3 linked regions of the Saccharomyces cerevisiae S288C genome follow. The protein of the gene in region 2 purifies or fractionates together with the protein of the main gene of each other region. This does not show direct contact. Each region holds a gene or a part of one and is shown on either strand. Other genes may lie near its edges. The genes, in order: SIT1, MTM1 and ENB1.

What was found.
Region 1: the proteins of MTM1 (region 2) and SIT1 purify together in Saccharomyces cerevisiae (affinity purification with mass spectrometry, with the first as the bait; one large-scale study listed by BioGRID). This does not show direct contact.
Region 3: the proteins of MTM1 (region 2) and ENB1 purify together in Saccharomyces cerevisiae (affinity purification with mass spectrometry, with the first as the bait; one large-scale study listed by BioGRID). This does not show direct contact.

The regions. Positions count from the first base shown.
Region 1 is NC_001137.3:25,744-30,138, forward strand, and holds SIT1 (siderophore transporter), read left to right. Parts: upstream 1-1,913; coding exon 1,914-3,800; downstream 3,801-4,395. Other genes in the region: YEL068C (uncharacterized protein), read right to left, coding at 1-235; YEL067C (uncharacterized protein), read right to left, coding at 446-1,033; HPA3 (D-amino-acid N-acetyltransferase), read left to right, coding at 978-1,463; AVT2 (Avt2p), read right to left, coding at 4,054-4,395. UniProt on the Saccharomyces cerevisiae protein: Involved in the transport of siderophore ferrioxamine B and so has a role in iron homeostasis.
Region 2 is NC_001139.9:1,005,556-1,009,246, reverse strand, and holds MTM1 (Mtm1p), read left to right. Parts: upstream 1-1,941; coding exon 1,942-3,042; downstream 3,043-3,691. Other genes in the region: ssDNA endodeoxyribonuclease RAD2, read left to right, coding at 1-1,576; phosphogluconate dehydrogenase (decarboxylating) GND2, read right to left, coding at 3,145-3,691. UniProt on the Saccharomyces cerevisiae protein: Involved in the mitochondrial activation of SOD2 by specifically facilitating insertion of the essential manganese cofactor. Has the ability to activate iron regulon in an iron-dependent manner. Responds to calorie restriction (CR) strength.
Region 3 is NC_001147.6:18,872-23,219, reverse strand, and holds ENB1 (Enb1p), read left to right. Parts: upstream 1-1,908; coding exon 1,909-3,729; downstream 3,730-4,348. Other genes in the region: oligo-1,6-glucosidase IMA2, read left to right, coding at 1-695.

The sequences.
Region 1 (4,395 bases), on a different chromosome or scaffold from region 2:
CGTCAACGAGTTTATCAATCTCGTCGTAGTGGATAGTAATCCATGGATGATCTTCATTACCGCAAGTAGTCCAATTCACTGGTGGTAGTTTTACGCTCCAAAATCTCTTATCATAATCCGCTATGCGGTAAAATGTCGATGTATTATGCGTAAAATTGTTATAATTGTCTGTTGTATCCGTACAGCATACCAATGCCAAGCCTTGAAAGGCGACGGCTAGTGCCAAAATTTTCATCCTTTCAGTATACCTGATTTTGGCTTTATCCTTTCAATGTGCCTGATTTTGGCTTTCTCGTATCTTTCGCCTGATAATATGAAAAAGTATATACTGTGAAAAAACAACCGTTGGAGAGCTACGACCGACTGAAAAGATAAAAATGCTTGAGTTTTTCAGGTTAGCATGCCGTCTAGTAGAATTAAACCATTGTAGTTCTTCACTTTTGTATTAAACGTAGGATTGAGGCGGTGGCTGCTTTTGGTTTACTATGCGTTGTAAGGGGATGGGGAAATGGAACGTCCAGAAGAAAGTTATAGTTCCCGTTTGCATAACAGCAGAGACAAAAATGGTCGAGCACTTCCGTGTTGACTGTATATCTGTGCATGGTTGACTAATTGTTGTTTGATGGCCTGAAGTTCTTGTCACACTCTGCAAATTATCCCGACATTCAGACGTACACGTACAAAACACGAATGCTACTCTAGCATATCCAATCGATCGCACTGAAGCGATCAGCTGATGATCAGGCGGTACATTGCATACTCTGCGTAAGGCCTTTTTCACCAATTGACCGCATCGTATATTTCCCAATCCGGTTATTAAATCGTTATCAGGCGGAAACCTTCGCGAACAGTATACTGGAGAGTGTTGCGACAAGATATTTAAAAGCGGAAAACGGGCATATAAAATAGATGAGTGCAGACTAATGAAAAAGACCCCAGACCCATCTCCACCTTTTGCAAGCACGAAGAACGTAGGCATGTCAAACGAAGAACCGGAAAAAATGGTTAACGATCGAATTGTGGTGAAGGCCATCGAGCCAAAAGATGAGGAAGCCTGGAACAAACTGTGGAAGGAGTATCAGGGTTTCCAAAAAACGGTTATGCCTCCGGAAGTAGCCACCACTACCTTCGCAAGGTTTATAGACCCTACGGTCAAACTATGGGGTGCTCTAGCCTTTGACACCGAGACCGGCGATGCAATTGGCTTTGCACACTACCTGAACCATTTGACGTCGTGGCATGTCGAAGAAGTTGTCTACATGAATGACTTATATGTCACTGAACGCGCAAGAGTCAAAGGCGTAGGTAGAAAGCTCATAGAATTTGTATACAGCCGTGCCGATGAGCTCGGTACGCCTGCAGTGTACTGGGTTACAGACCATTACAATCACCGCGCACAGTTGCTGTACACCAAAGTGGCTTACAAGACAGATAAGGTTCTTTACAAGAGAAACGGATACTGAAACCGCTGTGTAATGTAGACTACTGTGTATAGAGATAACTCTAGCTTCTATAGGCTCACTTGCGAAGCTTTTTTCCCACTTTTTCCCAGTGAAATAGTTTCTTATTGGCTTTTCATAGTTTGTTCTCCGATTTAATCGCAAGCGCCGTACGGCGCAGGCACAGAATGACTTGCAGCTTAATCCAGGTGCATTTTAAGAAACTTATCTGCTGGGAAGACCCCGAAGTTCATCGTTTACAATGTGCCGTAAAGAACACATTTGAGGGTGCAATCTGGTTCGTCTTTTGCCATAATTAGTAGTGCTCATCCGTGATCCTTTAATTTACTTTTGTGATGCGATGATTTGCAGATACTATATAAGCAATGGACACCGTCCATCACCGATGAGGCTAGAACATCGTAGTGCTTTGTAAAAGAACTGTTAAAGACCCAGTACGAAAATTTTTCCATAATGGACCCTGGTATTGCTAATCATACCCTCCCCGAGGAATTTGAAGAGGTTGTCGTTCCCGAGATGCTGGAAAAGGAAGTAGGAGCCAAGGTCGATGTCAAGCCAACGCTAACCACATCTTCTCCAGCACCTTCTTACATTGAATTGATAGATCCAGGTGTGCATAACATCGAGATTTACGCAGAAATGTACAACCGCCCGATCTACCGTGTCGCATTATTCTTCTCACTTTTCCTCATTGCCTATGCTTACGGATTAGATGGTAATATCCGTTACACTTTCCAGGCGTACGCGACTTCGTCGTACTCCCAGCACTCGCTGCTATCGACCGTCAACTGTATTAAGACGGTTATTGCGGCTGTAGGCCAGATCTTCTTTGCCAGATTATCAGATATCTTCGGCAGATTTTCCATTATGATTGTCAGTATCATTTTTTATAGCATGGGGACCATCATTGAGTCGCAAGCGGTGAATATTACAAGATTTGCAGTTGGTGGTTGTTTTTACCAATTGGGTCTTACCGGTATTATTCTAATTTTGGAAGTTATTGCTTCTGACTTTTCCAACTTGAACTGGAGGTTGTTAGCCTTATTCATTCCAGCTTTACCATTTATCATCAACACCTGGATTAGCGGGAACGTAACAAGTGCCATAGATGCTAATTGGAAATGGGGTATTGGTATGTGGGCTTTTATACTGCCGCTAGCTTGTATTCCGCTTGGAATTTGTATGTTGCACATGAGGTATTTAGCAAGAAAGCATGCTAAAGATAGATTGAAGCCCGAGTTCGAAGCGCTAAACAAATTGAAGTGGAAGTCCTTTTGTATAGACATCGCATTTTGGAAATTGGATATCATTGGAATGTTATTAATTACTGTATTTTTCGGGTGTGTATTGGTTCCATTCACCTTAGCGGGTGGTTTGAAAGAGGAATGGAAAACTGCGCATATTATTGTCCCTGAAGTCATTGGTTGGGTTGTAGTGTTACCACTGTACATGCTATGGGAAATAAAGTACTCGAGACATCCATTGACACCTTGGGACTTGATTCAAGATAGAGGTATCTTTTTCGCTCTACTCATCGCATTCTTTATCAATTTTAACTGGTATATGCAAGGTGATTACATGTATACTGTACTAGTCGTTGCAGTTCATGAATCCATAAAGTCCGCTACAAGAATTACCTCCTTGTATTCATTTGTTTCTGTTATCGTTGGTACAATCCTCGGGTTCATACTGATTAAAGTTAGAAGGACTAAGCCTTTTATTATATTTGGCATTTCTTGTTGGATCGTCTCATTTGGTTTGCTGGTCCATTACCGTGGTGACTCCGGTGCTCATTCCGGTATCATTGGCTCTTTGTGTCTATTAGGTTTCGGTGCAGGTTCATTTACCTATGTGACTCAAGCTTCCATCCAAGCATCCGCTAAAACTCATGCAAGAATGGCGGTAGTAACCTCATTATACCTTGCCACTTATAATATTGGTTCTGCATTTGGTAGTTCTGTTAGCGGAGCTGTCTGGACTAATATCCTACCCAAAGAAATTTCAAAAAGAATTTCCGATCCAACCTTAGCTGCACAAGCGTACGGTTCTCCATTTACATTCATTACAACTTATACCTGGGGAACACCAGAAAGAATAGCTTTAGTCATGTCTTACCGCTATGTTCAAAAGATTTTATGTATCATAGGTTTGGTATTCTGCTTTCCTTTGTTAGGTTGCGCATTCATGTTGAGAAATCATAAACTAACAGATTCTATTGCTCTTGAAGGCAATGATCATTTGGAAAGTAAAAACACCTTTGAAATTGAGGAAAAGGAAGAAAGTTTTTTGAAAAATAAATTCTTTACGCACTTTACAAGCAGTAAAGATAGGAAAGATTAATATTATCTCACCCAAATAATTTCATACATGCACATATAGCTACTACATAGTCAAGAACATATCATAACATTTGGTATAACAGTCTTTATATCAGTCTTTGCATGGCTTTGCATCTGATGCTGGCTCTACCGACTTCTCGGCGATAAAATACCAAAAGAATTTGACGTATATACTATCCAAAGTGGATAAATATTTGAGTTCCAATGAGGTAACTAAACTAGTTTTTTAAAACCCAGCAGAAAGAAAAAATACCCTATATTTGGCAGTGCTGTCCATCAGAACCATTAACTGCATCAATAATAGTTTGGGTGCTGCTGATTATCATAATCATGAAACCAAAGCATATACAAAGATAGAAAGGAAGCCTTTCCTTCCAACTCTTCTTCTTACTAGTTAACAACAAATTTGTGTATGGCGGCAAAATGTAAGCCATAGTCGATGCCGTAGTGGCCCCAATCAGTTCAAATAATGCTCCTAAATTACATGTAGTTAATGATATACCCATGGTGATGAAGACTAGTGAAGAAGTTATAACGACGTGCTGTTTACCTGATAATTGAGTGTGTTCGTCATAATTTTTAATAAGGTTGCATTC
Region 2 (3,691 bases):
GAATAGCAAATCAGAGTCGGTCATCAAAAGGACCAGCAAGACAGTTCTTTCTGAGTTTAGGCCACCGTCTCAGCAGGAGGATAAAGGGGCTATTTTAACAGAGGGGGAGCAAAACCTGAATTTTATTTCTCACAAGATACCACAGTTTGATTTTAACAATGAAAATTCCCTGCTTTTTCAAAAGAATACCGAGAGTAATGTGTCCCAAGAAGCCACGAAGGAAAAGTCTCCAATTCCTGAAATGCCGAGCTGGTTTTCTTCAACTGCTTCCCAGCAGTTGTATAATCCCTATAACACAACAAATTTCGTGGAAGATAAAAACGTAAGAAATGAACAAGAAAGTGGAGCAGAAACTACCAATAAAGGGAGTAGCTATGAACTCTTGACAGGCTTAAATGCTACGGAAATATTAGAAAGAGAAAGCGAGAAAGAGAGCTCCAATGATGAAAACAAGGACGATGACTTAGAAGTTTTATCAGAAGAACTATTTGAGGACGTTCCCACTAAATCTCAGATTTCAAAAGAAGCAGAGGATAACGATAGTAGAAAAGTCGAATCTATAAATAAGGAGCATAGAAAGCCTCTTATATTCGACTATGACTTCTCCGAAGATGAAGAAGATAACATAGTAGAAAATATGATAAAGGAACAAGAAGAGTTTGATACATTTAAAAACACGACTTTGTCCACTTCTGCTGAAAGAAACGTTGCCGAGAACGCTTTTGTGGAGGATGAATTATTCGAACAACAGATGAAGGATAAAAGAGATTCGGATGAGGTAACTATGGATATGATCAAAGAAGTGCAAGAATTACTATCGAGGTTTGGAATCCCCTATATCACTGCGCCTATGGAAGCTGAAGCACAGTGTGCGGAATTGTTACAACTAAACCTTGTCGATGGTATAATTACCGATGACAGTGATGTTTTCCTATTTGGAGGTACAAAGATCTACAAAAATATGTTCCACGAAAAGAACTATGTTGAATTTTATGATGCGGAATCTATTTTAAAATTATTGGGCTTGGATAGAAAGAATATGATTGAGTTGGCACAGCTTTTAGGGAGCGATTACACGAATGGATTGAAGGGTATGGGTCCCGTTTCAAGCATTGAAGTGATTGCAGAATTTGGAAACCTAAAAAATTTTAAAGACTGGTATAATAATGGGCAGTTTGATAAACGTAAGCAAGAAACGGAAAATAAATTTGAAAAAGACCTGAGAAAAAAACTGGTAAATAACGAAATTATCTTAGATGATGATTTTCCTAGCGTCATGGTTTATGATGCGTATATGAGACCAGAAGTCGATCACGATACCACGCCGTTTGTTTGGGGGGTACCAGATCTCGATATGCTTCGTTCATTCATGAAGACTCAACTAGGTTGGCCACACGAAAAGTCTGATGAAATTCTCATTCCCTTAATTAGAGATGTTAATAAACGCAAAAAGAAGGGGAAGCAAAAAAGGATTAATGAATTTTTTCCAAGGGAGTACATATCTGGTGATAAGAAGCTCAATACAAGTAAGAGAATTTCAACCGCAACAGGTAAACTAAAGAAAAGAAAGATGTAATAACATATACTTATGTATGATTTACTATTTATAAACATTACCTTTGTTTCTGCATGTTAACAAAGTCAACCGATCCAGGAATAGTAGATATATACGGTCCTTTTGGTATCTTTGCGTCGGTGAGGTATGACACTTTTGGCACCCACCCAAACACGCGCAACGTTATTTTTCGCCATCTTGAAGATCTCAGAATAGCAATTAGAGAATAAGACACATTCTGTCATTTTTGCATATTTCCGGGAAGATCACTCCTCTGGAATTGGGGCACACTACCCTCATATTTGTGCCAGTTCACTTCACAGGAATCGTATGAGCCAAAGCCATAAAGTATCGTAGGAAAGGAAACGAGGTGTTGATAATACGATATGAGTGATCGCAATACAAGTAACAGCCTGACCTTAAAAGAACGAATGTTAAGTGCCGGTGCTGGATCAGTACTCACTTCTTTGATTTTGACACCGATGGATGTAGTGAGAATACGGCTGCAACAGCAGCAGATGATTCCTGACTGTTCATGTGATGGGGCTGCCGAAGTGCCCAACGCCGTTAGCTCAGGCTCCAAAATGAAGACATTCACCAACGTCGGAGGACAGAACTTGAACAACGCAAAAATATTTTGGGAGAGTGCTTGTTTTCAAGAACTGCACTGTAAAAATTCATCGTTGAAGTTCAACGGTACTTTAGAAGCATTCACGAAAATTGCCAGCGTCGAAGGTATTACAAGTTTGTGGAGGGGTATTTCTTTGACCCTATTAATGGCTATTCCTGCCAACATGGTTTATTTTAGTGGTTATGAATATATAAGAGACGTTTCTCCTATAGCCTCGACGTACCCAACATTAAACCCCCTCTTTTGTGGTGCAATTGCGAGGGTATTTGCAGCAACAAGTATTGCACCTTTAGAATTGGTTAAAACTAAACTGCAAAGTATACCGAGATCATCAAAGTCCACAAAGACATGGATGATGGTTAAAGATTTATTAAACGAAACGAGGCAGGAAATGAAAATGGTGGGTCCTTCTCGGGCCCTCTTCAAAGGTTTGGAGATCACTCTGTGGAGAGACGTTCCGTTTAGTGCAATATATTGGAGTTCCTATGAACTTTGCAAGGAAAGACTATGGCTAGATTCTACTCGATTTGCATCTAAGGACGCAAACTGGGTCCATTTTATAAACAGTTTTGCCAGTGGTTGCATAAGTGGGATGATAGCTGCTATATGCACACACCCTTTTGATGTCGGTAAGACGAGATGGCAAATATCCATGATGAACAATAGCGATCCGAAAGGCGGCAATAGGTCTAGAAACATGTTCAAGTTCTTAGAGACTATATGGCGTACAGAAGGTCTTGCGGCCCTCTACACGGGCCTGGCAGCCAGAGTAATTAAGATACGCCCAAGTTGCGCCATCATGATATCTAGTTATGAGATCTCCAAAAAAGTATTTGGAAACAAATTGCATCAGTGAATAAAGGCTTGTAAATATAGATATATAGTAAACGAAAAGAAGCATATACGTATAATTATTTGTGGGAACGGCTCTAGAAAAGAAAACTTTGCCTTTAACTCCTTAAGCTTGGTAGGTTGAGGAAGATATATTACCTCCGTGCCCAGTCCAATTGATATGAATATCCTTGTCTACTGGCAAATGGGCAGAAGCACATTCAGGTAAAATTCTAAATGTATGAGCGCCAAAATAATCACGTTGCGCTTGTAACAAGTTTGCTGGTAGCCTCTCAGATCTATAGCCGTCGTAAAACGCTAAAGCAGTAGAGAAAGCTGGAGTTGGAATACCGTAAGTAGCAGCAAGGGCAATAGTTCTTCTCCAACCGGATTGGGCCTTAGTAACTGCAGAAGCGAAGAACTCGTTGAATAATAAATTTTCCAAATCTGGATCGTCCCTATAAGCCTTCGTAATCTCAGCTAAGAACACAGATCTGATTATACAGCCACCTCTCCACATTAGAGCAATAGCTGGGTTGTTTAATTTCCAGCCGTATGATCTGGCAGCTTCGCGGATCAGCATGAAACCTTGAGCATATGAAATAATCTTTGAAGCGTATAATGCTTGTTCCAAATCATACACAAATTGTTCTCTATCATGTATTGCATCCTTT
Region 3 (4,348 bases), on a different chromosome or scaffold from region 2:
GATTTGGTGACGATTCTCCTAAGAACCGTGTTATTTCTGGTAAGTTGTTGTCTGTGTTGTTGGTGTCACTGAGCGGTACTCTATATGTGTACCAAGGACAGGAACTGGGTGAAATCAATTTCAAGAACTGGCCTATCGAAAAATACGAGGATGTCGAAGTTAGAAATAACTATGATGCGATCAAGGAAGAGCATGGAGAAAACTCGAAGGAGATGAAGAGGTTTTTGGAAGCAATTGCCCTTATTTCCAGAGACCATGCTAGAACACCTATGCAATGGTCTCGTGAGGAGCCAAATGCTGGTTTTTCTGGTCCTAATGCTAAACCATGGTTTTACTTGAACGAGTCTTTCAGGGAAGGAATTAACGCTGAAGACGAATCCAAGGATCCCAACTCGGTTTTGAACTTCTGGAAGGAGGCCTTGAGATTTAGAAAGGCACACAAGGATATTACTGTATATGGATATGATTTTGAGTTTATTGATTTGGACAATAAGAAACTGTTCAGCTTCACAAAGAAATACGACAACAAAACATTGTTTGCTGCTTTGAACTTCAGCTCTGATTCGATTGACTTCACGATTCCAAACAATAGCTCGTCGTTTAAGTTGGAATTCGGAAACTACCCAAGAAGCGAAGTTGATGCGTCTTCCAGAACATTGAAGCCATGGGAGGGCAGAATTTACATATCTGAATGATTGATGATTGTGACGACAAGATTTTTATACATATACATATACTTATTTTTATCTATGTTACATACCGCACTTTAAATAGTAACGACATATATCTGGTAGTGCGGTATGAGTTATGTAATACACTAAAGTATAGTTTTGTGTAGCATTTTCCATATGTCCTTGCATTGGTATTGTATTATAATAATGCTGAGAGAAGGGTTACTCTATAGCTCATTTGGCCAGATAATACGGCGAGTTATGTGCATATAAGAACAAGTACTAGTGAAATTATATATTATTGTTTATGATCAACAGAATCATCTCTACTACACACTGCATTATGAACTGCAGCCACATTTATCTAAGGGCGGAACGTACCTATGAAATGTCTCTACTACTTTTATGAAGATACTGATTTTTAGTTTGTCACAAATTTTACGATTCTGAAAACACATATACTTTCTTTTATGTTGATAGAGCAATAACACAATGGCCATTTAAAATCTAGCCAGCAAAATATATTCACCGGTTCGTACAATCTCATTTACTATTCCCTCTGAACGTCTTGACTTTGCTCCGCCAGCAAATTTTCCAATCCAACATGCAAGTCACGAAATGACGAATGAAGGCTGTATCAATCGTTCCTAACTGAGGATGGCTGAATAAAAATGAAGGGAAATTCTACGACAGTTTTAATTAGTTAATGAAGGGGTGTGAAAAAGTTAGAAAAAAAAAAAGTCAAATTCAGGAGAATAGACAAGCCTACATTTTCTGTAGTTCAAAACTTTTTATGGTTTGACTTTGTTTTTTTTTTTTTTCGTTTTTCTTTTTTAGTTGAACTAATGGGACCCTCAAACCTAAAATTTTCCGTTTTCGTTTAATCCTCGCATCATATATACCAAATAAGGACACAGGGTTTTCAGTGAGCAAATGTAAGGGTTTCTATGGATTATAAGCCCTTCGGATCAGAAACAGGGTTCCGTAGTTTGGGCAAGAATTGCCCTTAGTCCTGAGTCAACTGCAAAAATCTGTTTAAATTATTGCACCCAAATGTGATACAAATGTATACTATTATAGAGGCTGCCACGGCTTACAATTGCACCCCTCTGTGGCTTTTGAGTGGCGAAGGGTCTATGTTTGGATAATAGAGATGACTTATTTAATTGAAATGATGGTTTGGGTCCTAGCAGAACTCTAATATAGCAAAAAAGTGCTCGTGAATGTCTCTCTGAAAATGCTGGAAACTGATCACTCTAGGAATGACAATTTAGACGATAAAAGCACTGTCTGCTACAGCGAAAAGACAGATAGCAATGTTGAGAAGTCTACCACGTCTGGCTTGCGCCGTATAGACGCTGTCAACAAGGTCTTGTCTGACTACAGCTCTTTCACAGCTTTTGGAGTTACGTTTAGTTCACTCAAGACCGCCCTACTGGTGGCTCTGTTTTTGCAGGGTTACTGTACTGGACTCGGAGGGCAGATTTCGCAATCAATACAAACCTATGCCGCTAACAGTTTTGGAAAGCATTCTCAAGTAGGATCGATCAATACCGTCAAATCAATAGTAGCCTCTGTTGTCGCAGTGCCATACGCACGTATATCTGATCGGTTTGGACGTATAGAATGCTGGATTTTTGCGCTTGTGCTCTATACTATTGGAGAAATTATTTCTGCTGCTACTCCAACGTTTTCCGGACTTTTTGCAGGTATTGTTATACAACAGTTCGGTTATTCTGGATTTCGTCTTCTTGCTACAGCACTGACTGGTGATCTGTCTGGATTGAGAGATCGTACATTTGCGATGAACATATTTCTGATTCCCGTGATTATAAACACATGGGTAAGTGGAAATATTGTTAGCTCAGTTGCTGGTAATGTTGCACCATATAAATGGCGTTGGGGCTATGGAATTTTTTGCATCATTGTGCCCATCTCCACCCTAATATTGGTCCTTCCCTATGTGTATGCTCAGTACATTTCCTGGCGCAGCGGTAAGTTACCACCATTAAAATTGAAAGAAAAAGGACAGACCCTGCGTCAAACGCTCTGGAAATTTGCGGATGACATAAACTTAATTGGAGTCATTCTTTTCACTGCTTTCTTAGTTTTAGTATTATTACCTCTCACAATAGCTGGTGGAGCCACCTCCAAATGGAGAGAGGGTCACATTATTGCAATGATTGTGGTTGGTGGCTGCTTAGGTTTTATCTTTCTAATTTGGGAATTAAAATTTGCTAAGAATCCATTTATCCCACGAGTATATCTAGGTGATCCAACCATCTACGTTGCATTGCTAATGGAATTTGTATGGCGTCTAGGTTTGCAGATTGAGTTAGAGTATTTGGTCACCGTGTTAATGGTAGCATTCGGAGAATCAACATTAAGTGCGCAGCGGATAGCTCAGCTTTACAATTTTCTACAGTCATGCACTAATATTGTTGTCGGCATTATGCTGCATTTCTATCCTCATCCGAAAGTCTTTGTAGTCGCTGGGTCGCTTCTTGGTGTCATCGGAATGGGTCTTTTGTACAAATACAGGGTGGTATATGACGGGATTTCGGGTCTTATTGGCGCTGAGATTGTGGTCGGTATAGCTGGTGGTATGATACGTTTTCCTATGTGGACGCTAGTGCACGCTTCAACCACCCACAATGAGATGGCAACTGTCACTGGGTTACTAATGTCCGTTTATCAAATCGGAGACGCAGTAGGTGCTTCCATCGCTGGTGCTATATGGACTCAGCGTCTGGCAAAGGAGTTGATACAGCGACTCGGCTCTAGTTTAGGGATGGCAATCTACAAATCACCACTCAATTATCTAAAAAAATACCCTATTGGATCAGAGGTTCGTGTTCAGATGATAGAATCCTATTCGAAGATTCAACGCTTATTGATAATTGTGTCCATTTCGTTTGCGGCTTTCAATGCTGTTCTCTGTTTTTTCTTGCGTGGCTTTACTGTAAACAAGAAGCAAAGTCTTTCCGCAGAAGAACGAGAGAAAGAGAAGCTCAAAATCAAACAACAATCATGGCTCCGTCGTGTAATTGGATATTGAGCTGGAGAGTACTAGCGATACAAATATAGTGTTAAGCTCTTTCCTGAACTAGAATTCTCTTTGAAATAATCACTGTTAATGTAAGTAGTAATCAATAATGGCGTGTAACAGTATAATATTGTTGTCTGAAATAAAAAACAACAAAAAGTTCGAATTAGTTTTATTTTATTTTTCTTTTCTAACTAAGTGAATATCCATACGTTTGTTACGTTTATTTCAGCAATATTATAGTCTTAAATGGGCTTGACAATACAAAAATCAATGAGATTATTCGCACCTGTCATTTCCCGTAGTTTTTATAAAGAAATATAAAAAAAAATGTTGCGAAGAACTTTTACTAGAGCGTAAACGAATTAAAAAAAATTAGTAGTGTAAATATAATCACCACCTGCCGTAAGCCTGCTTGAGCCCTTTATTATTTAGTTTTAGCTGTTGCTAACCTGACTTTCATACTTCTTATAATTGACGTCATAAAAAATATTCAAAGTTCGAAAGAATGAAGAAAACATTGACCGACTTAAAAGAAGCAGTAACCCCACGAAATTTTAACCAGTGCTGATTGTGCGAGAAATCGACTCCAACAGTCTCAGATCAGAGAATATATGAAATATTAGTGGCC